Arabidopsis thaliana: one gene and its partners. The main gene of each other region encodes a partner of the protein of the gene in region 4 in a complex. Each region holds a gene or a part of one and is shown on either strand. Other genes may lie near its edges.

Region 1 (7,966 bases), 5.6 Mb from region 4:
TGGGTCATCCATCATTAATCGTGTTCTTCAATTCACCAACTTCGTAGGTTCCGCATCTTTTGTACTTTCTTTCTATTTTTAATCTTGCAATATCAAAAATAAATATATACACCTTTTAAAAAAATTCTGAATATGCATATGGTAATGGTATCATCAGAAAACATTGAATATTGAATCGTCTATCTACCAATCTCTTCAAGTTGTGAATTTTATTTATCAAAAAAAAAAAAAAAATCAACTGAAACGTCAATGTTATGTTTTGCTTCAATCTAAAGAAAGTTGTACCAAAAATAAAGTACTTTTTTACCAAGAAATTTCGGATTGTAGCCAAAATATGTCTTGTTTTATTTTTTTTGTTCACCAAAAATATGTTAAACTAGTTTTTTGACTTTTTCCCCCATGCGTTGTTGTTGTTATTCGGACGACCAATATTTAATACAGTATTCAAGTGTAGCTAAGCTACTGATTCCAGATAAAGTAAAAAAATGTCTTTGATACCAACTTCACTTTGACCAATTATCGAACTCTTTAATTTCATAATATATAGCTTTGACAAATATCCCATCAGAATTCATAAATCGCCACATGAATCTTATAATTGTCAACTATGTGCAGTCCAATATTAATATCATGGAAAACTAGATTACTAGCATTTAATTTCTTAATTGTATTTAGGTTATAGACTTAACATGGTTTTTCTTCTAGAGCATTTTCACTACATTTTTTTCTTTCTATGTTATTATTTTATGTTTTACTTATTGTTACATCCATTTACAACGATGTTGGATAAAATATTTTTAACTGTTCAGTCCGTAAATGACTAGCTAAATTTTTACGGATATATTTTTACATAAAAAAAGAAATTATTTTTACGATTTACCAATTTAACTCTTCTTTCTCTCTAAGTTTTCATTTATTAAAAATGATAGTTTTTTTAAGAAAGTTATTTGTATTTATTTATTTAAAATTGGATGCAAAAAATTACAAAACTTGGAAGAAATATTGTTAACCCATCTTTATCAGTATAGAATTTCTGATTACTCCCTGCGTTGAAAATAAGAAGATCCATAGAACGTGGTAATGTTTTTTTTTTTTTTTTTCTGGCAAGAAATGGTAATGTTAATCAATTAGACTCATGACTAAAGCTGGAAAATTTGACTAAAATGGTATTATCTTGCATTATTACCTAAAAGCTCTTCTTGCATTACTCTTTCATGCAAAATTGCCTCCAAAAGTCATACTTCGAAATCATGGCTTTGTAACTCACCCTTGCCACCATCTATCTAAACTTATTATTGTTTAAAACAAAATTGATTTTCAAAGAAAAAAAAAATATAAACTCCCACCGGTCAATAACTTTTAATTTTCACTTCAATTATTCATAAAATAAATATATACACCTTGATTCTTTCTTAATAACTGGAGTTATTTTGAATTTAAATTACTTTTGAAATACAAAAGAAAGTAAGATAATTTTGCCATTTAAAATGTCTACAACAATTATGTTAACACTTAACATACATTTTTAGAACCAAATGGTAATGGTCCACTAGTTAAAAGATTTCTTATGAATGTCTTTTTATGCAGAGTTCGAATTTTCTCACAACGATTTTAACCATTTTCGTCACTCGCAAAATTTTTAGTGGATAACAAAAAAAAAAAAAAGTTGAAATTTAATGGAAATTTAGGAGATTTGTCCAATTTTTAATTTTCCCGATTAATTTAAAAAATCTACTTTACGCCTTTTATTGACAAAGATGCATATTAACTATATATATATATATATATATATATATATATATATATATATATTATAAACTAAATTTTGTAGAACCCATCAGAAGAAATTTGTACTTTTAACTTTAAAATCAATTAAAAAATTTCAATTCAAATAAAAAAAAATCCAAAATTGTTTATAAATTCAAGAAATATAACACACAAGTTGACATAAACAGTGGAGAGATTTGTGAAATGTGAACTCTTTTGACGTCTTTCTCATATTTCGTCTCGGGACAATTCACACGCACTGAATCATCTCTCTCACGAGGACTATTCAGCCATTTGCAAACGCACACACAAACGCACACGCGTTTATTTTTTTTTCGCCAAATCAAATCTGAAGAGTTCCTGTATCTTTTAACCGCTCTTCTTCTTCTTCAGAGAGCTTCGTTGATTGAACGGAAAAAATGGTGGTTCCTGGACGGAGAACCGTCTGGGATTGTGTGATTGAGCTGACAAAGATGGCTCAAGAGAACTGTGTCGATCCTCGTCTTTGGGCTTCTCAGTTATCATCGAATTTGAAATTCTTCGCCGTGGAGTTACCGTCGACGGAGCTTGCGGAGGTTATTGTTTCGTACATTTGTTGGGATAATAACGTTCCTATTGTTTGGAAGTTTCTTGAAAGAGCTATGGCTTTGAAGCTTGTTTCTCCTCTCGTTGTTCTTGCTCTTCTCGCTGACAGGTCTGGATTCATCGCTCATGGATTGTTTCCTTAGGGTTCTATGTGTTGATGATTTATTTCGTAATTTGGATTGTGAGTTGGTGAATTATAGTTTGGAAAATCTCTACGATTTTGTGATGGATCTTAGATTTGGTTTTATCTTATTGTAGTTCTATGTTTTCTGATTGTTGCAGAGTTGTTCCAACCCGGTCTACGCAACAAGCAGCTTATAGAATTTACTTGGAGCTGCTCAAGAGAAATATGTTCACCATTAAAGATCATATTAGTGGACCTCACTACCAGAAGTGAGTTTTTTTTTGTTGATACTTCTTACTTACTGTTTCATTCAAATGCTTGGCTCTGTAGGAAAAATGTTAGTAAATGTATGTTTCCATTAACATTGTACTCAGAAGTAGAATTAGAGAATACAAAATACTGTTTTGGCTTACTTGGTATTTATCTTCCTTCTTCTTTGTACAGGGTCATGATTTCAGTATCCAATATTCTTCGTCTTTCAGAGTTATTTGATCTGGACACAAGCAAACCTGGTGTGCTTTTAGTAGAGTTTGTTTTTAAGATGGTGTCACAATTGCTAGATGCAGCGTTAAGTGATGAAGGTTTGCTAGAGCTAAGCCAAGACTCGAGCTCCCAGTGGCTAGTTAAGTCTCAAGATATGGAAATTGATGCTCCTGAGAGATATAATGAAAAGACTGGATCACTAGAGAAGTTACAGAGTTTGAATACCATCATGGCTATTGAGTTGATAGCGGAATTCCTCAGAAATACAGTGATTGCGAGATTGCTATACTTGGTATCTTCCAACAGGTATGCATCATAGTTAACGAGAGTAAAGTTTTTTCAGTGGCATCATAGTTATGTTGTTCTTTGCATTGGCAGATATTTTGCTTAATCATGACCTGAATTTGACAAGTAATGTCTCTGTAGTAAAGTGTTTTTCTTTTAATCCATTTGCTATCCATTTCTTTTCAGGGCTTCGAAGTGGCATGAATTTGTCCAGAAAGTGCAGCTTCTTGGAGAAAATTCATCGGCTTTAAAACACTCAAAGGTTCTAAATTCTGGGGATCTATTACAATTGATTTCGAATAGACGATTTGGGTATTCTTATGATAGCAAAGTAACTTCAGCACGGAAATCCAATGCAATTGTGGATTTTGGATCTCTCTCTTCCTATGCTGGCTTATGCCATGGAGCAAGTCTCTCTTCACTTTGGCTTCCTCTTGATCTAGTATTTGAAGATGCAATGGATGGATATCAAGTAAACCCAACTAGTGCGATTGAAATCATTACCGGTAATTTGTAGACTCCATCTTCTTTCACTTGTGGCTTTGACCAAAGAAAAGATATCTCAAATATATAACGAAATGACTTGGGAGTATTAAATTTTCAGGTCTAGCTAAAACACTTAAAGAAATTAATGGGAGCACTTGGCATGACACTTTCTTGGGGCTTTGGATAGCAGCTCTCCGACTTGTTCAAAGGGTTAGATTACTCTCTTACTGATCTTTCTGTTTGTGATTTCACCACTACTTTGGTACCCAGAAAAGTGCAATTGCTATTGCTTGCAAGTTTTACTTACACCGTGTGCTTTTGTAATTGGTTCTGTTATTTGGTTATAATTCCCAAGACTTTTGTTACCTGCAGTTTCAGAGGACTTTCTTACACACTTTCTCTTGACTGAAGCTGTACTATTTGATTGTTACTCTGTCATCCATGATAAGTTTAGATTTTCCGTATCTAATGGCTGTTCTGATTTTCTCGTTTTTCTTTATTACTAGGAAAGGGATCCTATTGAGGGACCTATTCCTCGACTGGACACAAGGCTGTGCATGTCATTATGTATTGTGCCTCTTGTGGTCGCAAACCTTATTGAAGAGGGGAAATACGAATCTGTCATGGAAAAGCTGCGAGATGACCTTGTTACAAGTTTGCAGGTCCTCGGTGATTTCCCTGGATTGCTGGCTCCTCCCAAATGCGTTGTTTCTGCTGCCAACAAGGCTGCCACAAAGGCAATCTTGTTTTTGTCTGGTGGCAATGTTGGAAAGTCATGTTTTGATGTCATAAACATGAAGGACATGCCTGTCAACTGCTGTAAGTTTAATAAAATTTCGCTCTATTGAATTGAAGTTAAACCAATTTGTTTGTCTTCGTATTCTTCATTATTGTCGCTTGATTGTCTTCATTTGTTGATTTTATGGGCCTCTTTCGTGCCTAACATACTTTATGTACATGCCGTAGCTGGAAACATGCGCCACCTGATAGTCGAGGCTTGTATTGCAAGAAACATACTGGATATGTCGGCTTATTCGTGGCCTGGCTATGTTAATGGCCGAATCAACCAAATACCTCAGAGTCTGCCGAATGAAGTACCCTGCTGGTCATCATTTGTGAAAGGGGCTCCACTAAATGCCGCAATGGTGAATACATTAGTTTCAGTTCCTGCTTCAAGGTAGAATGAGTTATTATCTTCTTTTTGTTTCTTTTTGCTCTATTAGCTCCACACTACTTCATCCACATAGTCTTCCCTCCAAATCATACAGTCAGTGGTAATTTAAAATTACTATACAAAATTAAGCTACGGAGTTTCAAAGTCGTAACCTAAGGAAACCATTGCCACAATGAGAATAGTGGTTGCATTCTAGTTTGACTTAAGTTCTGCTTCTTCTTCAGTTATTCCTTTTTGTTTCTTAGCCAGGTAATGCTCTTTTTTTAATTTACCGAGAGTAAAGCAACTGAAATACCTCATGGATTTGATGGAAGCTTAGCAGAGCTCGAGAAACTATTTGAGGTTGCAGTCAAAGGATCGGATGACGAGAAGATATCTGCTGCTACAGTTCTTTGCGGGGCATCTCTCACACGGGGTTGGAACATACAGGTTGGCATTAAATCCACTAATCAGAATCTCCACCAGTGAGAATTTTCGGTTGAACAGACATGTTTGATTTATCTATCTTTCTTCGATGTACAGGAACACACTGTTGAATATCTTACAAGATTACTATCCCCACCCGTTCCAGCAGATTATTCCAGGGCTGAAAATCATTTGATTGGTTATGCCTGCATGTTGAATGTTGTTATTGTTGGGATAGGATCTGTTGACAGCATTCAAATTTTCTCTTTACATGGCATGGTATGTAAATTGTACTTCCAAGTTTACTAGACTTAATAGTGAATTTGCTGAAAGATGTAATGTACGATTTTGATGGCTACTTTTTAGGTTCCGCAACTTGCTTGCTCACTAATGCCAATTTGTGAAGAGTTTGGATCTTACACCCCGAGTGTATCATGGACTCTTCCTTCTGGAGAAGCAATATCAGCATATTCTGTTTTCTCAAATGCATTCACTCTTCTTTTAAAGCTATGGAGATTCAATCATCCTCCTATTGAGCATGGTGTGGGAGATGTTCCCACAGTTGGCTCCCAACTCACTCCTGAACATCTTCTTTCAGTGCGTAATTCTTATCTTGTTTCGTCGGAGATCCTTGATAGAGACCGAAACAGAAAGAGACTTTCAGAAGTTGCAAGGGCAGCATCTTGCCAGCCCGTGTTTGTGGACTCGTTCCCCAAGCTGAAAGTCTGGTATAGGCAGCACCAAAGATGCATAGCAGCCACATTATCTGGACTTACACATGGATCTCCCGTTCATCAGACAGTTGAAGCACTTCTCAACATGACGTTCGGAAAGGTCAGAGGCAGTCAGACTTTAAATCCAGTAAATTCGGGCACAAGCAGTTCATCAGGAGCTGCAAGTGAAGATAGCAATATTAGACCTGAGTTTCCTGCTTGGGATATCCTCAAAGCCGTTCCATATGTTGTCGATGCTGCTTTAACCGCTTGTACTCATGGAAGGCTTTCGCCTCGTCAGTTAGCTACAGGTTTGTTTTGTTTTGCTGGATCAGATTCCTAATTGTGTTGTCATGTGCGATAACATCCGTCTATATGACCTTTGGCAACTCTGAATGCCAATGAGAGATGTTTGACTGTGTTGATCAGTTGTTATATCAGATGCATTTCTTACAGTAAAGTGAATTTATTTACAGAATAACAAGTGTTTTTCTTTCAGGGCTGAAAGACTTAGCAGATTTTCTCCCGGCATCATTAGCAACGATAGTAAGCTATTTCTCAGCTGAGGTGAGTAGAGGTGTTTGGAAGCCAGTATTCATGAACGGCGTGGATTGGCCAAGTCCAGCTACAAATCTATCCACTGTTGAGGAATATATAACGAAAATTCTTGCAACAACAGGCGTCGATATCCCTAGCCTTGCTCCAGGTAAAACTATTCAACGTGTTTAAAATGCCAGTCTGTTTGTTTGGCTTACCATCTCTGTAGTCTGTACCATCCTCTCTTTATAATAAGCTTTTTACCTGTCCTGATTTGATGTGTTAAAGTTAAAGTTGTCTTTTGAACTTATGGTTGACTTCTTGCTGTGGTATTGCAGGAGGGAGTTCTCCGGCAACGCTTCCTTTACCTCTAGCCGCATTTGTTAGTCTAACCATTACTTACAAAATTGACAAAGCCTCAGAGCGGTTTCTCAACCTGGCTGGCCCAGCTCTGGAGTGCTTGGCTGCAGGCTGCCCTTGGCCTTGCATGCCCATTGTAGCTTCATTATGGACCCAAAAGGCGAAACGTTGGTTTGACTTCCTTGTTTTCTCTGCCTCTCGCACCGTCTTCCTTCACAACCAAGACGCTGTGATTCAGCTCCTCAGAAACTGCTTCAGTGCCACTCTGGGTTTGAATGCTGCCCCCATGTCAAATGATGGTGGCGTTGGAGCTCTTCTTGGCCATGGATTCGGCTCTCATTTCTATGGAGGGATCTCTCCTGTAGCACCAGGGATTCTTTATCTCCGTATGTATCGTGCTCTCAGAGATACTGTCTCCGTATCGGAAGAGATTCTCTCTCTGCTGATACATTCGGTGGAGGATATAGCCCAGAACAGGCTCTCAAAGGAGAAGCTGGAAAAGCTGAAGACAGTGAAGAACGGATCAAGATACGGCCAAAGTTCTCTAGCAACAGCAATGACTCAAGTGAAGCTTGCTGCTTCGCTGAGTGCCTCGTTGGTATGGCTAACCGGTGGCTTAGGTGTGGTCCACGTTCTCATCAAAGAAACGATCCCATCTTGGTTTCTATCAACTGACAAATCAGACCGAGAACAAGGACCATCGGATCTAGTTGCAGAGCTAAGAGGTCATGCCCTTGCCTACTTTGTGGTCCTATGTGGAGCACTTACTTGGGGCGTGGATTCAAGATCATCTGCATCCAAACGCCGCCGCCAAGCAATCTTGGGAAGCCACTTGGAGTTCATCGCGAGTGCCTTAGATGGGAAAATATCAGTGGGATGTGAAACAGCAACTTGGCGAACATATATTTCCGGTTTGGTGAGTCTAATGGTGAGCTGTTTGCCGCTCTGGGTGACAGAGATCGATACAGAAGTGTTAAAGAGTCTAAGCAATGGACTAAGAAAATGGGGAAAAGACGAGCTAGCGATTGTATTACTCTCCTTGGGAGG
Region 2 (3,487 bases), on a different chromosome or scaffold from region 4:
GTAGATATGATTTACTCAAAAATGATACTTTCAATAATTTTAAGGGTTGTCAAACATACCGTAGTATAAGCGGCTACCATCGCATCCTTGTTGATTACTGTACATATACACCCCACCACGAGCATGAGTAGCCCCCATAAAAGCATTCAGACGAATATCTAGTTTCCTAAGTTGGTGATGACTCCCACTTGCATTCATAAATACTTCAACACCATTCAATGCGAGCTCGGCATGAGGAGGAAGTGGACTAAACAGTTCCTCACAGACTTCAGCTGCAACAGCCCTGATAAGGAAATATAACTGATACAGTTAAGCAGACAAAATCATTGACAGTGTTGAAATGGAAGCATTTATCCAAACTCACGTGTCGATAAACTGGATGTAACCATAACCAAAAGGGACTGATTTCTGCTCCAAAGCCTCTGAAATTTCAATGGGGAGCTGAAATTCCTCTAGCTCTTCTCTCTGCTTCCAAGCTGTGAACCACCGTAGCTCCCTATAGTTTCCATCGTTTGCGAGCCACATTTTCGGTCGAATCATGATGATTCTTCTGTTCATACAGAGAACCTGGCAGTTATAACGCTCTGCTCCTTTAATCACAGGCATTCCTATGCTGCACAAAATATCATCCGTCCAATCACCAAGCAGCAATTCCTTCAAACACTCCCACCTGAAAGAAGATATTCACATGAACATAAGAAGAAACGGTTAAACATGATTCCGATAACTAAATTCAGAAGAAAAAGAAATTAATTCCATCATCTAAAGTGATAGTACCAAGTCATTCATGCCATTCATCATCGAAATAGAAAACTAAAAATAGAAGCTTACGCATGAGTGACAGTGTCGAGTTCCAAGAAGTGATCCTCGCAACCATAGCCAGTGACCTCGAGCTCGGGTCCAAGCCTGATAACAGCACCAGCAGCCTTTGCCTCAGCGATCGAAGCCTTGATGTTCTTCATGTTGCTCTCGAAATCCATGGCCCATTGGTTCAAGTTACACGTAGCAACCTTCAACAGCCTCATCTTCGTCGCCTAAAGAGAAAGACAAGTAAATTTACTGTACATCAAGTAGTGTAAAAAATCTGACTTATCTAAGGCACAAACTTGTTCATGAGAACAGAAGCTGGTTAAATTAGTTAAAGGAACAAACTTTGTATTACTTTGCTAATACTAACAATTCAAATTCAATTTTAACAGCCATAATACACAATATCTGTAACGAAGAACTCGTCAACGCAACACTATTCGATGTGAATCAATTGCCAAAAGAAGAGAAGGAAGAATTGGAGCTTACGTGAATGTGCAAAGAAACCAAGTATCAAAGTCGTGAAATTCGGAGATCGTGAAAATTGAAAACTATGGGAGTTTGTATTTCTTTCAGATGTGAAATTCACAGACTCCAAGTGATTGTGCAGTGCTCGTGCAGAACAGATTGTGACCGACCAAGAAGAACATTCGGTTTGAGAGGAAGAAGAAGAAGAAGAGATTGATACTGAAACGACGGCGTTTTACGATTGTAAATTACAAACAAAACCTTAACTGAGAACAACTTCGTTTTATCATGACACGACATCATTTTTTTTTTTTTTTGGTCAAAACACGACATCGTTTAAGTTCCCACTTTTGTCTCTTCTTCGTTCTTTTAAGTTTTAATAGACGACGACGGCGACGAGAAGGAGAATTAGCGAGATCGGAAGGAGAAAAAATGGATCAATTCTCAGGAGGAGGAGGTAATTGGTCGATGATCCCAAACGTGCAGGCGCAAGGTAACTTCGGTACACCGACGAATCATGACCAGCAACTATTCCTCCAGCAACAACAATTACAACAACAACAACAACAACAACAACAACAACAGTTTCATCTTCAACAACAACAACAGACGCAGCAGCAACAACAACAATTCCAGCCACAACAACAACAAGAGATGCAACAATATCAGCAATTCCAACAACAGCAACACTTCATCCAACAACAGCAATTCCAACAACAACAACGGTTGTTACAATCTCCTCCTCTTCAGCCACAGTCGTTACAATCACCTCCGCCGCAACAGACGATGGTTCACACGCCTCAATCTATGATGCATACACCGCAGCAACAACAACAGTTGGTTCAAACTCCGGTGCAGACTCCTCAACAGCATCAGTCTTTAGCTTCTCATTTCCATCTCTATCCGGTAAGAGAAACAAAGAAAATTGATGAAATTGGAATCGTTGGGGGTTCTAATTTCGTGTTAATGACGCAGATGGTGGAGAAATTAGCTGATGTGATCGAAAATGGAACACGAGATCAGAATTCTGACGCCCTGGTTTGTTAAAAATCAAGTCTTTTAAAGTGGTTTTGAGATTTCTAGGGTTTCTTATTGGATGATGTTGAAATTGTGGGATTTGCAGGTGAATGAATTGAATAGCCATTTCGACAAGTGTCAACAGTTGCTGAATTCGATTTCAGGATCACTAGGATCTAAAACTATGGTAACATTTTGGATCTCTGTATTGGTTCTGTTTAATCTTTTGTTTCTTATGGATCTCTCTCTCTCTCTGTGTTTTATAGACTGTTGATGGCCAAAAGAGAAATGTTGAAGAAAGTGAGCAATTGCTTCAACAGAGAAGGTTAGCTAGATTGTTAGTATCATGTTTTATCTGATCAGATTGTGATCGTGCTCTTACTCTTTTGTTGTTAAATGTCTTCTGGTCAGGGATTTGATTGTGGAGTATAGGAAATCTATTGAAGAGATTGTGACAATGGAGCATTAGTTTCTCATATTTTGATTCAGCAACTGTTTAGCTACTTAAGACCAATAATTGTTATCAATAAACCAATCTTGATTCACATAATAAAGAGAATGTGGTTTTCTTCAAGAAAATTCATTCTTCGGATTACAAATAGATCACAATGCATAATGTGTTTTGTCTGCATCAAACCAAACCAAAATCTTTGTATGTGGGACATGCAACAGAAAGCTCAACCCAAAAACGATATAAGCCCAGGTAGTTGTTGAACATAGTGAGTGGTTTTGTGATTTAGATTCAGAACAGAGTAGAAAAAGCATTGTAGCGACCATGGAAAATTCAACCATTATTCCACAATGATCCTCCAAATATAAAACAAAACACCATTGAAGCCACATCTATTAGTCTTTTAAAAAGAAATAAAAACACCGACTTCTAATCTATCCCTACTCACTATTTTGAAATCATGATAATAGTCTTAAACAGGTAAAAAAAAAACCCAATAAAACACTCACGTAAGCTTCATATTCTCTAGATAGTTTGGAACAGCATGAAACAAAACCCGTTTAGAACCTTGAGATTCTGGAACTTCAACTCTTACTCTTACCACAATGTTCTCCTCGAGATTGTAGTAATAAAGGTAAAAAGGAACTTGTGGATCATAGTGATTTGGGCAGAATACAGCTTCACCTTTACTAGTAACTAAAAAGTTTACATCAATTCCATTGAACTCCGGCCATTGAAGGGGCT
Region 3 (7,788 bases), on a different chromosome or scaffold from region 4:
TGTAAGGTTTACGGGTTTCTATTTTCTTGGTTTTCAAAATGAAATTTGATTTATGATGATAATTTAAACTTAAAAGATTTAAAAAATCCTAGTTTGTCAATGATGTAATTTTGAGCAAGTAATTCTCTGATGCAATATGCAGTTGGAAATGGTATATTTAGATAAGTTTGTTTAACTATCAACCATAAACCTTTTCTAATAGAAATGTATATTTCTTACCTGCAAATAAAACACAAAGTCCAATCATGACCCAACTATGAAATGGGTTTGATCCTTTATTTCCTTGTCAATCAAATAAAAAGCTAGATAACAAGTTATTATCAGCATATAGAAACACCAACAAAATAGAAATCATCCACTTTTTTTCTATTTATCTTAAGAAAATGACAAAATAGTTTGGTGCCGTAGCTAAATGGTCAGACCCATACAGAATAGGACATGCCATTTTCAGGCTCAAAAGAACAGAAAGGACAACTAAACAGAGTCTAAAACCATGGCGACGATCGAGTTGACCAAAGAAGAAAGAAAGAATGTTAAGTTATGATAAATCTAATTAATTAGCACTGAAGCTGATATTTTTATTTATCCCATGAAGCCAGCTCCAGGCATGTTAGGCTGCCCTCCACCACCACCTTGTTGTGATCTTCCAGGGGCTTGTGCAAAAGCTTGACCACCCATTACCATCTGTTGAGGCTGCTGTTGCTGCTGCATCTGATTCAGAGGCGAAGTCTGTTGCTGCATCTGATTGAGCGGCGAAGTCTGCTGCTGCATCTGATTCAGCGGCGACGCCTGCTGCTGCTGCTGATGATGGTGTTGAAGCTGTGTCAATTGATGCTGCTGCTGTTGTTGCTGCTGTTGTTGTTGTTGCTGCTGATGATGTTGGAGCTGTGACAATTGATGCTGCTGTTGCTGTTGCTGCTGGTGTTGTTGTTGTTGTTGCTGGAGTTGTGGCATCTGTTGCTGTTGGAGGTGTTGTTGTTGTTGCTGCTGCTGCTGGATCTGCTGTTGTTGTTGTTGTTGCTGGTGGAGTTGTTGTTGCTGCTGCTGTTGCTGATTTGGAATTTGTGGTTTAAACACAACCATATCCTAGGAGTAAACAAAACAACCCTCAAGAGTCACTAATGTGAAGCAAAACATATATAGACACCTTAAACTTAGTACTTCCTTACCCCTGGGAAAAGCATTCCAATCAAGCGGCAAGCCTTGTCAGAGACAGAGAGAAGAAGCGTCTGTGATGGCAACTGGATGACTGCACACTGCAATACGGAGGATGACAAAGTTATCATATACAACTCCACAAAAGCTAAGCGTGAAAATGACAATAGTATGGCACACGATTAGGCTAATCAAAACAAGGCTACATACAAGCGTAGGCATCGTTAAGTGTATGGTGAACATAGCAAGAGATTGATAGATTCACCGAGAACATGTTTACAGATGTAAGTACATATATTTTTTCAAAGATTTTCATTCTTAACATCTAATTCATCCTAATATCTAATAAACCAGTAAACACCATTCATCATTTTGTTATTAAATTTGTAGTGAAACAATAAGGAAAAGGAGACAAGTGGCATAAATTATCAACAATACTCACAAGCTTTTTATCCTGAAGTTGTCCTAAGAACCCATGTTGACTCATGGCCCGAAACACAAGGAAGTCAGCTTTGCCAACATATTGCCTGATGCAAAGTCAGGTGAAATATTTAGTGGCATGAAATCAACATCCACCCATGAGCCATTTGGAATAAGGAAGGATATAGCACGAAGATATTACTTGTTATTCATATGGTCCTGGGATATGAGACGAACAATCTGCATAGTTGGTGGCCAGTTTGCTGCCAACCTGGGGAGATGCACAAAAAGAGAAAGCAAAAATTAGTTTAGCAGCTACAATCATTTCTTAAGGAGTCGACTGCTCTCCTGACAAGGTTTAGTAAGGAAGCAGTTTTCATATTTCAATTAGTTATAAACTTACGAATCAGAGGCAGAAGCACTTCGGTAACCCTGTCAAATATAAACAAAGACGTTAGTTAATATCTACTTGGAACAATTCAACAAAGTTCTACAGAGGAAGATGTGCTTAAGCATGTGATCCCAGTAAATTCAGAAAAGGGGAAAGAAAAGTGCATAGTAAGTGCCCCTAAACACACCTCAAGTCTGGTGATAAGAACAGGCTGCCCTTGCCTTTGCCCAGATAAATTTCCCTGCATGAATTTGAAAATGTAAGTAAAAGTTAGCACAAGATCACCGTTATTTTAGACAAGATAAACTGACATTACCTCCCAGACTTTCACATATTTGGATTGTGAAGTCTGCATAGCCCCCGATGATGGCTGTGATAGCTGCATATTAGGAGCTGAGCTGTTACTGCCACCAAGTTGTTGTATTCCTGATTGCGCTTGTTGGCCAACTCCTGGAGTAGGCATCATTCCACCTGTTCCAGAGGAGACATTTCCTTGACCAAGACCACTCATCATGTTTTGGTTCATGGAAATTCCACCTTGCATCATTGCTCCAGAATGACTTCCTTGGTTCATCCCTTGCATTGGTTGTGAAACACCAAGGTTTGAAGCGACATTTGACGTTGTTTGAGGACTAAAGGCATTATTAGGACCCGGGCTTTGTCCCGTTTGTGCAGATCCCATTAGTGCACCCGAACCAGCCATTGAAGTAATTCCCTGCTGTCCAGTTGAAAACACAGTTTGTGAAGGAGGCAAAGATGTAGCCATTCCTGTTGATATCATATTTGACATATGCATTGCAACCGCACTTTGCCCAACCGATGAGGCTGCACCTGCCAGAGCTGCAGAGCTCATGACTTGTCGGACTTGAGAAAGATTATTAAGCAGATTTACATTGGCTCCACCAGGAGGACCAGTACGCAATGGTGGCGTCATTCCACTGACCACCACAGGCTTAATATCTGGTGCATTCTCGGCGTTGCTGACCATATCCTGAGAAACTGGTGATGCTGAAGATGTTTGAATCGAAGGAATTGCTTGTGTAGCAGGCCGAGCTACAGCCGGGATATGGGGAAAACTAGGAACTGGTGCCATAGAAGTTACGGTGCTAGGCTCCTGCAATTTCATTCCAAAAATCTGATTAACAGGCTTCTACTAATGTGAAGATATGCTATCTAATAAGCTGATTGAGTATACAATATTATTTCACAAATGGGATATTCATATGAACTTAACATTAAATCTAGTTGATTAACACATAAAAATTTGTAATGTCTTATCAAGCACCAGAGAATAAATTTACAATTCATTTTCGGCTAATATCTAGTAAATAATTCTTATAAAACATACAAGAGTCGGTTGCCAATAGATAGAGCTGACTCCTCCAACTGACTAAAAAGATCAAATAGACTTACAACTTTCACAGTAGCAGTTGGAACTGGTCCAACAGAAACTGGTTGCCGATTCTGAATAGGTCCATTGGCTGAAAATCATACAAAAAGAGATCTTCATATAGAGAAGCAGGATAGAATCCAAAGAAGCACAAAGAAAAATCAAGATAGTTGGACTAAGAAAAATGGATGTTGTCAGTAGAAGAACCTGATGACACAGGAGCTGGAGGTTGCCCAGTGACTGGAATAGATGGAGCAACAGTGGCCCTGTCCACTTTCACAGGGCTCTGAGTCTGTGGCAAATTTGTAGCAGAATGACTTAAGGCAGCACATGCCTCCACAAAATTCTCCGAGATCAGGACAAGATAGAATGTGTTCTTAGCCGTGTCAATTGACAAGTCCGCACTTTGTTGATTGGGCTTTCCCTGCATTTAAAACAGTATAAAACAAAGATTACACCAGTTTATAGCATTGAGAATAAAGACAGCCTTTGAAAGAGCTGTCTGACAAAAGAAAGACTTTTGATAGATGTACATCTAGTGAATAGCAAATAGACACGCAGTCTCACCGCATTGTATAGTGCTCTAATTGTTGGAAGCTGCTTTGGACATACAACAGACAAAGAAACAGAACACTGCACACCAATATGGCAGGTTAGTAATTTCCCATTAAAAGGAGTAATTATAGCTAGTTGTAATACCTGGGGGAATCAGTTAAAAAAAGTACCTTAGCAAAATATGAAGCCACTGTCTCAGCATCTGATAATCGACTCTCAGCTTGCGCATCACCATTCTCATTCCGTTCCACATTTTGCAATCGTGGACGATATACAGGTGTTGGCAATATGTGAGGATTGCTGGCTGTGATTAGGATACAGTGTCTTTTCAGATCGTTACTTGGTTGAGCTTGGCCTGAAGGAGGAGAAAACATCTGTGTCATGAAGTCAGAGAAAATTGTGAGGTTTAAGGATCGAGAAAATCGCTGACAGAAGCACCACCACATAAAATGAAGCCATGGAAAGAAAAAAGTTAATTTTATTGAGAAAGTAAATTAGTCAAAAGTAGCTTGAAAGAAAGTGGCCCAAACATATGTCTTATAGTTGTGTCACAGATGAAAAGAGATCAAGTTTCCCACCATCAATGCTTCGGCAAGCCCTTCAGCTGTGGCAACCTCATTGAAACCACCACCACCAAATTGTATGGAAGAAAGCCAATGCAAGAAAATATCAACATCCCTTGTCCAGCCACTCCGTTGTACCAAGCAAGCTAAGAAGAATGAAAGATAAGAACAACATTACTAAAACAAAAGCTAATGTAACCAGGGCCATGAGAAAGCACCCAAATAATATTTGTATTTGGATATCACAAGATGAAGCACAACACGTACCACAATATGAACCATGAGAATTGAAGATCACCAGTGATAGCTCAACAGTAGAAACAGGGTTCCTCTGCAAGTTTAGTGAATATATAAAGACTCGATCAGACACATCAAACTACCAATTTGCTCTGTTATTTTTTGTGTCGCAATGATTTGACAGATAACGAATGTATATGAGTTTGGTCAAAAACATTGATTAACTGTTTGCTCAAGAATGAAAACTTGAGTAAACTTAAAAACGAGGATAAGTCAGATATAGTACCTCTCCATTTAACTCACTGCCACAGAAAGACCTGGACAAATGCAAAGAATGCATAGACAGATTATGTAATTGAAATTTTAACATACAAAAACGCTACTTTGAAATACAATACTATGTTGAGTGGATATTAAGAATAGCCAACAATGTGATTAGTTACAAACTATACAGGCAATTATATACTAAATTCTCTGTAATCACATATTAATATCAATTTTACGTGATCGAAGTGAGAAACTACAAATTCATTGCTTTATGAATGCGTTGTATCGAAAACAATGTCCTAACACAAAAAAAGAATGTAGGAACCATAAGGTAACGTAAAGTGATTGCTCAATATGAAACACAGAACAATCAAATACATAAACACAGTACTAACAACGAACAACAAAACATTGTGGAATCAGAGGATAAACAAAGGTTTGATCTAACCAATTGAAATTAAAGCCTGATTCGAACGGTATCAGCTAAACCCTAACTCCGAATGAAAATCAAATAACGAGGATTAAAAGAGATACAAGGTTCATAAAAAGAAAAACCTGATGATTTTCTCGAGATAGTCGGAGACGATGGTTTGCCAATAAGGACCCAAAGCGGCGGTGCCTTCAGCAACGACGATCAGCTGTTTCACCTCCGACGACATAGTCTCTGAGCGTTGTTGTTACGTGAATCAAAAGAAAATTCAGTCTCTCTCCCCTTGGAATTTGGTGATTCTTCTCGAGCCTAACGATTCGCCGACGGTAATTTCTTTGGAAATTTTTATTGAAGCTCGTTCTTTGTAAATTGTAAGTTTCCTTCTTCTCCGGGAGAGGAGAAGATAAATTAGATTGACAAAATTTGGTTTGGATGCTCCGAATAGAAAATGGGATATACAAAGGACTTGGTCGTTACTATCTTTTTATTTGTGTAAATTGGGCAATGAATTTAATTTTATTTTTTTTGGTGAAGAAGTGAATTTAATTTGATTAGATTGTTTACCATCTGTGGGATAAATGCAGAGAATCTTGTGAAGAATATAATTGGTTTGGAGGTGGTTCATCGAACGCCAAAACTAACAACAAGCTTAAGGTCGATCACGTAAAAAAAAATGAAAGTAACCAATTTGATATCTTATTTTGGGCTATGTGGATAAACATTTTGTATACATAGTTGTAGTTAGTCCAGACTTGAATCAAATAAAGGCCATGATAACCATTGTGAAGGCCATTTAAGATTGGTCCAAAAGTTGGACATGGGCCGCATGGCCTTTTTATCTGTGTTTTTTTCTTTTCAGAGTGGCCTAGTGGAAAATAGGATCCAATTTCGTATGTCAGTCATCTTAGACTAGTTGATGTCAATGACTTTTTGTGGAAGAGATGAGTCATAGAAGACGGCTACAAAGCTATAGATTTTGCTGATCCCGATCGTTGTTCATATGGTAGTATTGGTAGTACTAAGGGAGGGGCAACACATTGTAAATTGCCATGCAATGCTATGGAAACGTGAGTTTGTGAGAAGTCATGAGAACCCAAAATCAACTACTTTTCACGTGGTAGTTTTTTTTTATCTAATACAATGTTGGTGGTCTTCACATCCATGGACATTATCCATAAGACCATAACTCAAAGAAACCATCACAAATGAATAATTATCATCTTCCTTAAATTGCTTCTCACTGTTTACGACCTCTCGAACAATTTGACTTTACCACAACTCAATCCATCACCTAGTTATAAGCTTTTACAATTGTCCTTAAAAATCCAAATTTAATTATTGATACACAATAGTTTCTACAGTTTGGTAACCGTAGCAGACAGTACAAAAACCTCAATCTCCAAACTATTTAGAGAAATTTTCTCAAGAATACATACTCAAAATTAGACACTTAATTCCGTTTTATAGTGTGTGTTTTTTTGTGTGTGTTTTTGTCGCCAACCAATTTAGAATCGTCAGGTATTCACGAGAATTGCTTGAATATATCACAACACAACAACACACAATGAAGCGCGTGAAAAGAGGCGAGTAGGTTGGTGTGATATGGGGCAGGTGGCTCTTCGATAGCGTGAAGGGCCAAAATTTAACAATTCATGAGGAAACGGGGGGATCTGGATATGTGTGAATGTCACTCTTCCAAAGATTCTCTCCTTCCCAATTTTTTCCAATTTAATATGTTTTTTTCCAGCTTAGTTTCTCCCCTACTCTCGAGGAATATTCCTCCACTTTTGCCAAAAACTTCTTTATCTTTTTCTTTTCTGATAAAAATGTAATTTATGATATGATACCATATAATATATTCTAAACTGTAAATTTAATGAATGTTTAAAATTTTCTGGTTACATATCTTGATTCCAATCTCTATGGATATTCTTCTTCACTCGTTTGTTATTACAAAAAAATTCATGTGTATATTTCTAAAATAGGTAGAGAATAACCGAAGAAAAAAGAAAGAGTTAGTAATGACTAAAATGACTCGTCGTTCTTATCTCAACGTCAACGTCATGAGAATGCTGACATCATCGCCAGCTCGATAGAATATGGAAAGGAAGGAATCCACATATCCCCGAATATTCTCCCTGTATCAAACAAACCTCAGCCTATTCCTATATTTACCATTCTACCCTTTCCCAAGTAAAATCCGAATAAATCTAAACATCAAGAAGATTCGGTTTTAGGTACGCGACGGCCCGACCTCGATTAGACACCAATCCTCTTTCTCTGCCCTTTAAAACTTCCAACTTAAAAACGTCAAAGTTTTATCCTTTCTCTCTCATTTTAGATCCAAAACTCTTCTCTGTCTCTCTCAAGATTTATGTTT
Region 4 (4,646 bases):
CCCCATAGATAGCTTCCCAACAATCCATTGTGAAGTAGGCTTTCTCTCTTTCCCAAATAATGCCTTGTAGAACCTCGTAGGATTCTGAACCGCTTTCATTTTCCCTCTTGTCCTTGCATCCTTTTTGTTGAATCCAGATTTGCTGCAGTTAAGCCCGGTAACAAGTGCAAAATCATCAATGGCAAATCGAATTGGCTTCCCTGCAAACACCCACCACATTTCATACTTCTTATCTGTCACCAACTGCCTAGATAGAATGTAATGTAAGAACATTACAGAAAACTGATGCGTCCCCATTTGCAACAGAAATCCAAACTGCGAACCCTCCAGCTGCTTCAAATGGTTTTGATCTAGAGCAGCCTTGATGATCTCAATCCACCTAAGAGTAAAGTAATTGTTTATCCTCTTTCGGCCCTCAGGTTCAGAACCTAGCCGAAACAAACGCTTTGGCAACTCTACATCCCCCATGGAACAGATACACTGAAATACAAATGTCCACGTATCACTTTTTTGATGCTGCTACTTACACAAATACAAAATATATAAATCTTAGATGTAAATATATGTTATTAACAGACTCAACCAATATAGCCTCAGCTTTCCGTTACTATCAACAACAACAAATGGATTACATAGAAGTTGAGTTAAATATTAAACCTTCATAACACCAATTAGTGGAATATCGGATTAACCAGCAAAGATTCACTAACTAAAGCTACTCAAATCCGAGTTTATGCTATTCAATACTGCAAATAAAACTAAAAATGTCATTAACACATACAACCAATTTGAGTAGCTTCCGTTACTATCAACAAACACAAATGGATTACATTGAAGTAGAGTTAAATCCTAAACCTTCATAACAATTACAAATGAATATCGTATTAACCAAGCAGATTCCCTACCTAAAGCTACTCAAATCCGAGTTTATGCTATTCAAGCTCTTCAACACAAATTAAAAAGATTTTCCCAAAAGCCAAAAAATGGCATTTCATACCTTAATTTGGCTGAATCCCTTCGCCGACACCAATTGCCACAGAAATTCGAGTGTTACAGTGGAGACGACGGAGATATAAACACCTCTACTCCCGTACAACAAAACTCACTCAAGTACTCTCAACGGAATCAAAAACCCTCGATTGAGAAAAGAGCCAACATAAGTGTTGTACGAAACTCGGATGCTTAGATAGGCTCCTCCTCCAATTGCAGAAGATTTATGCAGTCCGATTGCCAGAAATCGAAGCCTCCACAGTCCCCAAATCGAAACCCACAAATTCAATCTTCGTAAACTCTAGAATCGTCACTCGGATTGCACACGCAGTCTGCTCTTCGAAACTTTCCCGGGTGTCGCTTTTTAAAGCCCAGAATTTTCAGATTTTCTTACTGTAACTTCTCTGAATGTTCACCTCTATTTGAATTTTTACAGAGTAATACATAGAAGTTATCGATTGAAAACTCAGAAGAAGAAGAATAAGCGCGTGTGCTCACGCACGGGTTAAGTTTGTCAATATTGCATAAAGTTCAATACATATTGGTTGAAGTGTTAGTTTTGCAATTATAATTTTTTTGTTGGCTATATTTGCAAATTTCCCATTTTTTTACATGTACAAACTAAAAAAAAAAAAATATTAAAGTGAACAAACTGTACATATGGGCTAAAAACTAAAAGTCCCACAAACATTGAGATTACAAAATACATTTTCAGTCCAACATGAGCCATAAAGCATTGCTTAATGGAGTAAAACTCAATTTAACAGAGTGGAATAAATTAAACAAAATAAGACGTGAAGGAGCAGAAGCAAGCATATCAACAAAAACGCCTTTGAAACGCAAACGCTACAAAATTGCGTCTGGCGTTACAGTAGATTGAGATTTGAACGTGAAATTCTCCGAGTCCAGAAACATTCCTCTCCTTCCGTCGTCGTCAAGAAGATCAATTTCATTGAAATCGAAAGAGTGTGCTTGAATCACAGCTTATGCAGACGCTACACCAGTCCCAACTTCTCCAGAATCCGGCCGAGGCGGCGAACAATCAGTCTGAATCGGACGCGCCGCCGAAACAGGTGGCTCAGGCCATGGAACGACTCAATCAAGCGGCTAGGGTTATCGCCGATATCCGCCTCGGCGCTGACCGTATCCTTGAAGCTATGTTCGTGGCTTCGCAACCTCGTCACACAGACATGCCTCTTCAGCTCTTTCTCAGAGAAGACGCCTCCATGCGTCAACATCTTCAGGATCTTCGCTTAATAGGTGCTGAACCAAAACTGAATCATTTTCATTAGTATTGATTGATTCTCTAGATTAGGGCTTTTAAGGATCGATCAATGTTTATTGCTTGGTTCAGGGAAGAAATTGGAAGAATCTGGAGTGTTAACTGAATCACTTAGGTCAAGAAGTAACTCTTGGGGTCTTCACATGCCTTTGGTTTGTCCAGATGGTGCAGTCGTTGCTTATGCTTGGAAAAGACAGCTTGCTGGCCAAGCTGGTGCTTCTGCTGTTGATAGAACCAGGTATCAGATTCGTTGCTAATCATTTTAAAGCATACTTAGGGTTTAGGTTCGAGTCTGCATATTAGGGCTGTTAGTGAAGCTTGGTGGTACCAACTTGGAGTTTCATCAGCTAACCAATTCTACTGAATCTCATGCATTCTCCATTTTCTCGCGTTGTGTATAATGACTGTAGGTTAGCTCTCAAGGCCTTCACGGATCAGAAAAGACGATTCTTCCCTCATATTGATGATGGATTAAAGATGGAACCAAGCTCAAAAAAACATCGTGCCTCCCATTTGCTATTAGAAAATGGAAGAGAGGAGCCGGTTGATTACAAAACATTGCCAGATATACAATCGCGTTTAGAGAAGCTGGTTCCGAGTGTGAAGGTGTCTACTTATGGACGATTGAACTGGCTTAAAAGAGCTAACTCTTTACCTGGGTCAGGTAGTGATGATCCTACAGAAGCATCGAAACCTATTTTCCAGAGTTCTAGCAAGCTGAGATCAGGGTTACAGACTGAAGTTGTCGACAAGATTGCTGTTATTGAGTTATCATTTCCTTCTCTATTCAGAGCTATAGTCTCGTTGAGTCCAGCGGGTTCTGTTGATCCAGATGCAGTTGCTTTCTTCTCCCCAGATGAGGTCACTTCCAACCTCCTTGCATTAAAATATACTGATTCTCATGTGAAATTGTTTAAGTTCTCATGTTTTAGCTTCATCCCTTTCTTACAGGGAGGCAGCTACTTACATGCGAGAGGCTTCTCGGTTTATCATGTTTACAAACACATAACGGTAATAAAGATGCGATTGATATTATATATAGTTTAACAAATTTGATTCATTGGGGACTTGCATTAATTAGATTTTTCTTGCAGGAACATGCTGCTACAGCCTTGCAATATTTCCTCGGCTTTGGTACTGGAACAGCTCTCTACTCTCTTCTGGTAAAGCATTTTACAAGCACACTTCAGTCTCTGGATAACATGAACCTTTTTTGTCTGGAAGTTAATTAACACCTTTCTCTTCTTCTTATGCAGCTATGGATATGCAGTTTTGAATCCGTATTTAGCAAACCTTGCACGTATGCAGACTCTCCGTAATTCTTCTAATACATTTGTTTCCCGTGGACTAACTTTTCATTTCTCTTCTGATGATGCAGTAAATGTGGAAGGCTATTAGCAATGGATAAAAAGTCTGCGTTAATCTTACCTCCTTTACACCGCGCTTACCAAGAATTGCCTCTTGCATTAAACCTGGACGTTTGTGAAGCTTACCACTCCAGTTGCTCTCAAGATGATACCTAGTACTCTAGTGATTAGGGAGGATCAATTAAAAGAAAGGTTAGAAATAAGTTCTAATAACATTTTGTATGGATCTTTAGTATCTGCTCTTCTCCTTGATATACCTCTTGTTTGTTGTTGATGTCCCATGTTGAGGTTTAGATTAACTTTCTTTCTTTCTACTCTCTGGTAACATGTGAATGTTGTCTTCTTTCTAGAGATTTGATCTTTGTTCACGAGATGACTGAACAGAGACCTTTTTTTTTAACTCGGTTCACATTACTCTGTTGCAGTCAGCATCAAAGTGAGAAAAAGACAGTGGGTGTTGATTTTTGCTTCCGATCCAGAAATATAAAACATGTTAAATGCAAGATCAATAAATTAAGTTATTTTGCAAGATCAAATAAGCTTACGGCTTCTTTCATAGAGATTGTACATGTGAAACCTGCAACTAACGAAGCAAATAAAAGAAAACACTAAATAAAGATAACACCAGAGGAAGTGGAAGAAGGTACTACATTTACACTACAACAAGACAACCTTCTTAAACCAAAGCCAAAGCCAAACAAACTTCTCATTACTTCTTGCCATCTTTAACTGCAACGACCACAATGCTCACTGCACATTCCTCTGGAACCACGGCCATTGACCGCCTAACACTGCAAATAGTCCAAAGATACATAGCTGACATTGCCCCTACGGCTCCACATACTGCAGCCAAGACCAGAGCACCAAGCATTCTCCATATACACTCACTATTTTCTCGGCCCTCTTCCATTTCCGTGGAAACGTCCGGCTTCAAACCTTCATTTGGTCCTAATGGCGCTGGTTGCACCCATATCGGATCAAGATGCCATATTTCAAAGCTCCATGAA

Evidence for each region.
Region 1: AT3G09180 (region 4) and RFR1 share a complex: the UniProt entries of both Arabidopsis thaliana proteins name them as parts of the mediator complex.
Region 2: AT3G09180 (region 4) and MED9 share a complex: the UniProt entries of both Arabidopsis thaliana proteins name them as parts of the mediator complex.
Region 3: AT3G09180 (region 4) and PFT1 share a complex: the UniProt entries of both Arabidopsis thaliana proteins name them as parts of the mediator complex.

The regions. Positions count from the first base shown.
Region 1 is NC_003074.8:8,465,452-8,473,417, forward strand, and holds the start of RFR1 (REF4-related 1), read left to right. Parts: upstream 1-1,946; 5' UTR 1,947-2,186; coding exon 2,187-2,461; intron 2,462-2,634; coding exon 2,635-2,745; intron 2,746-2,920; coding exon 2,921-3,265; intron 3,266-3,430; coding exon 3,431-3,750; intron 3,751-3,848; coding exon 3,849-3,940; intron 3,941-4,236; coding exon 4,237-4,549; intron 4,550-4,696; coding exon 4,697-4,907; intron 4,908-5,218; coding exon 5,219-5,333; intron 5,334-5,426; coding exon 5,427-5,588; intron 5,589-5,675; coding exon 5,676-6,333; intron 6,334-6,521; coding exon 6,522-6,728; intron 6,729-6,897; coding exon 6,898-7,966. UniProt on the Arabidopsis thaliana protein: Component of the Mediator complex, a coactivator involved in the regulated transcription of nearly all RNA polymerase II-dependent genes.
Region 2 is NC_003070.9:20,552,395-20,555,881, reverse strand, and holds MED9 (mediator of RNA polymerase II transcription subunit-like protein), read left to right. Parts: upstream 1-1,627; 5' UTR 1,628-1,707; coding exon 1,708-2,181; intron 2,182-2,250; coding exon 2,251-2,313; intron 2,314-2,398; coding exon 2,399-2,479; coding exon of another isoform or gene 2,480-2,558; coding exon 2,559-2,617; intron 2,618-2,703; coding exon 2,704-2,761; 3' UTR 2,762-2,977; downstream 2,978-3,487. Other genes in the region: AT1G55090 (carbon-nitrogen hydrolase family protein), read right to left, coding at 60-283, 365-670, 832-1,025; AT1G55070 (F-box and associated interaction domains-containing protein), read right to left, coding at 3,249-3,487. UniProt on the Arabidopsis thaliana protein: Component of the Mediator complex, a coactivator involved in the regulated transcription of nearly all RNA polymerase II-dependent genes.
Region 3 is NC_003070.9:8,968,810-8,976,597, forward strand, and holds PFT1 (phytochrome and flowering time regulatory protein (PFT1)), read right to left. Parts: upstream 6,007-7,788; 5' UTR 5,638-6,006; coding exon 5,534-5,637; intron 5,029-5,533; coding exon 4,998-5,028; intron 4,806-4,997; coding exon 4,742-4,805; intron 4,621-4,741; coding exon 4,490-4,620; intron 4,286-4,489; coding exon 4,082-4,285; intron 3,990-4,081; coding exon 3,924-3,989; intron 3,781-3,923; coding exon 3,564-3,780; intron 3,448-3,563; coding exon 3,380-3,447; intron 3,081-3,379; coding exon 2,283-3,080; intron 2,208-2,282; coding exon 2,154-2,207; intron 2,008-2,153; coding exon 1,979-2,007; intron 1,847-1,978; coding exon 1,778-1,846; intron 1,683-1,777; coding exon 1,598-1,682; intron 1,257-1,597; coding exon 1,170-1,256; intron 1,087-1,169; coding exon 583-1,086; 3' UTR 256-582; downstream 1-255. UniProt on the Arabidopsis thaliana protein: Component of the Mediator complex, a coactivator involved in the regulated transcription of nearly all RNA polymerase II-dependent genes.
Region 4 is NC_003074.8:2,817,302-2,821,947, forward strand, and holds AT3G09180 (mediator of RNA polymerase II transcription subunit), read left to right. Parts: upstream 1-1,792; 5' UTR 1,793-1,976; coding exon 1,977-2,250; intron 2,251-2,344; coding exon 2,345-2,510; intron 2,511-2,682; coding exon 2,683-3,133; intron 3,134-3,223; coding exon 3,224-3,283; intron 3,284-3,366; coding exon 3,367-3,435; intron 3,436-3,528; coding exon 3,529-3,572; coding exon of another isoform or gene 3,573-3,591; exon of another isoform or gene 3,592-3,650; coding exon 3,651-3,795; 3' UTR 3,796-4,124; downstream 4,125-4,646. Other genes in the region: AT3G09190 (Concanavalin A-like lectin family protein), read right to left, coding at 4,349-4,646. UniProt on the Arabidopsis thaliana protein: Component of the Mediator complex, a coactivator involved in the regulated transcription of nearly all RNA polymerase II-dependent genes.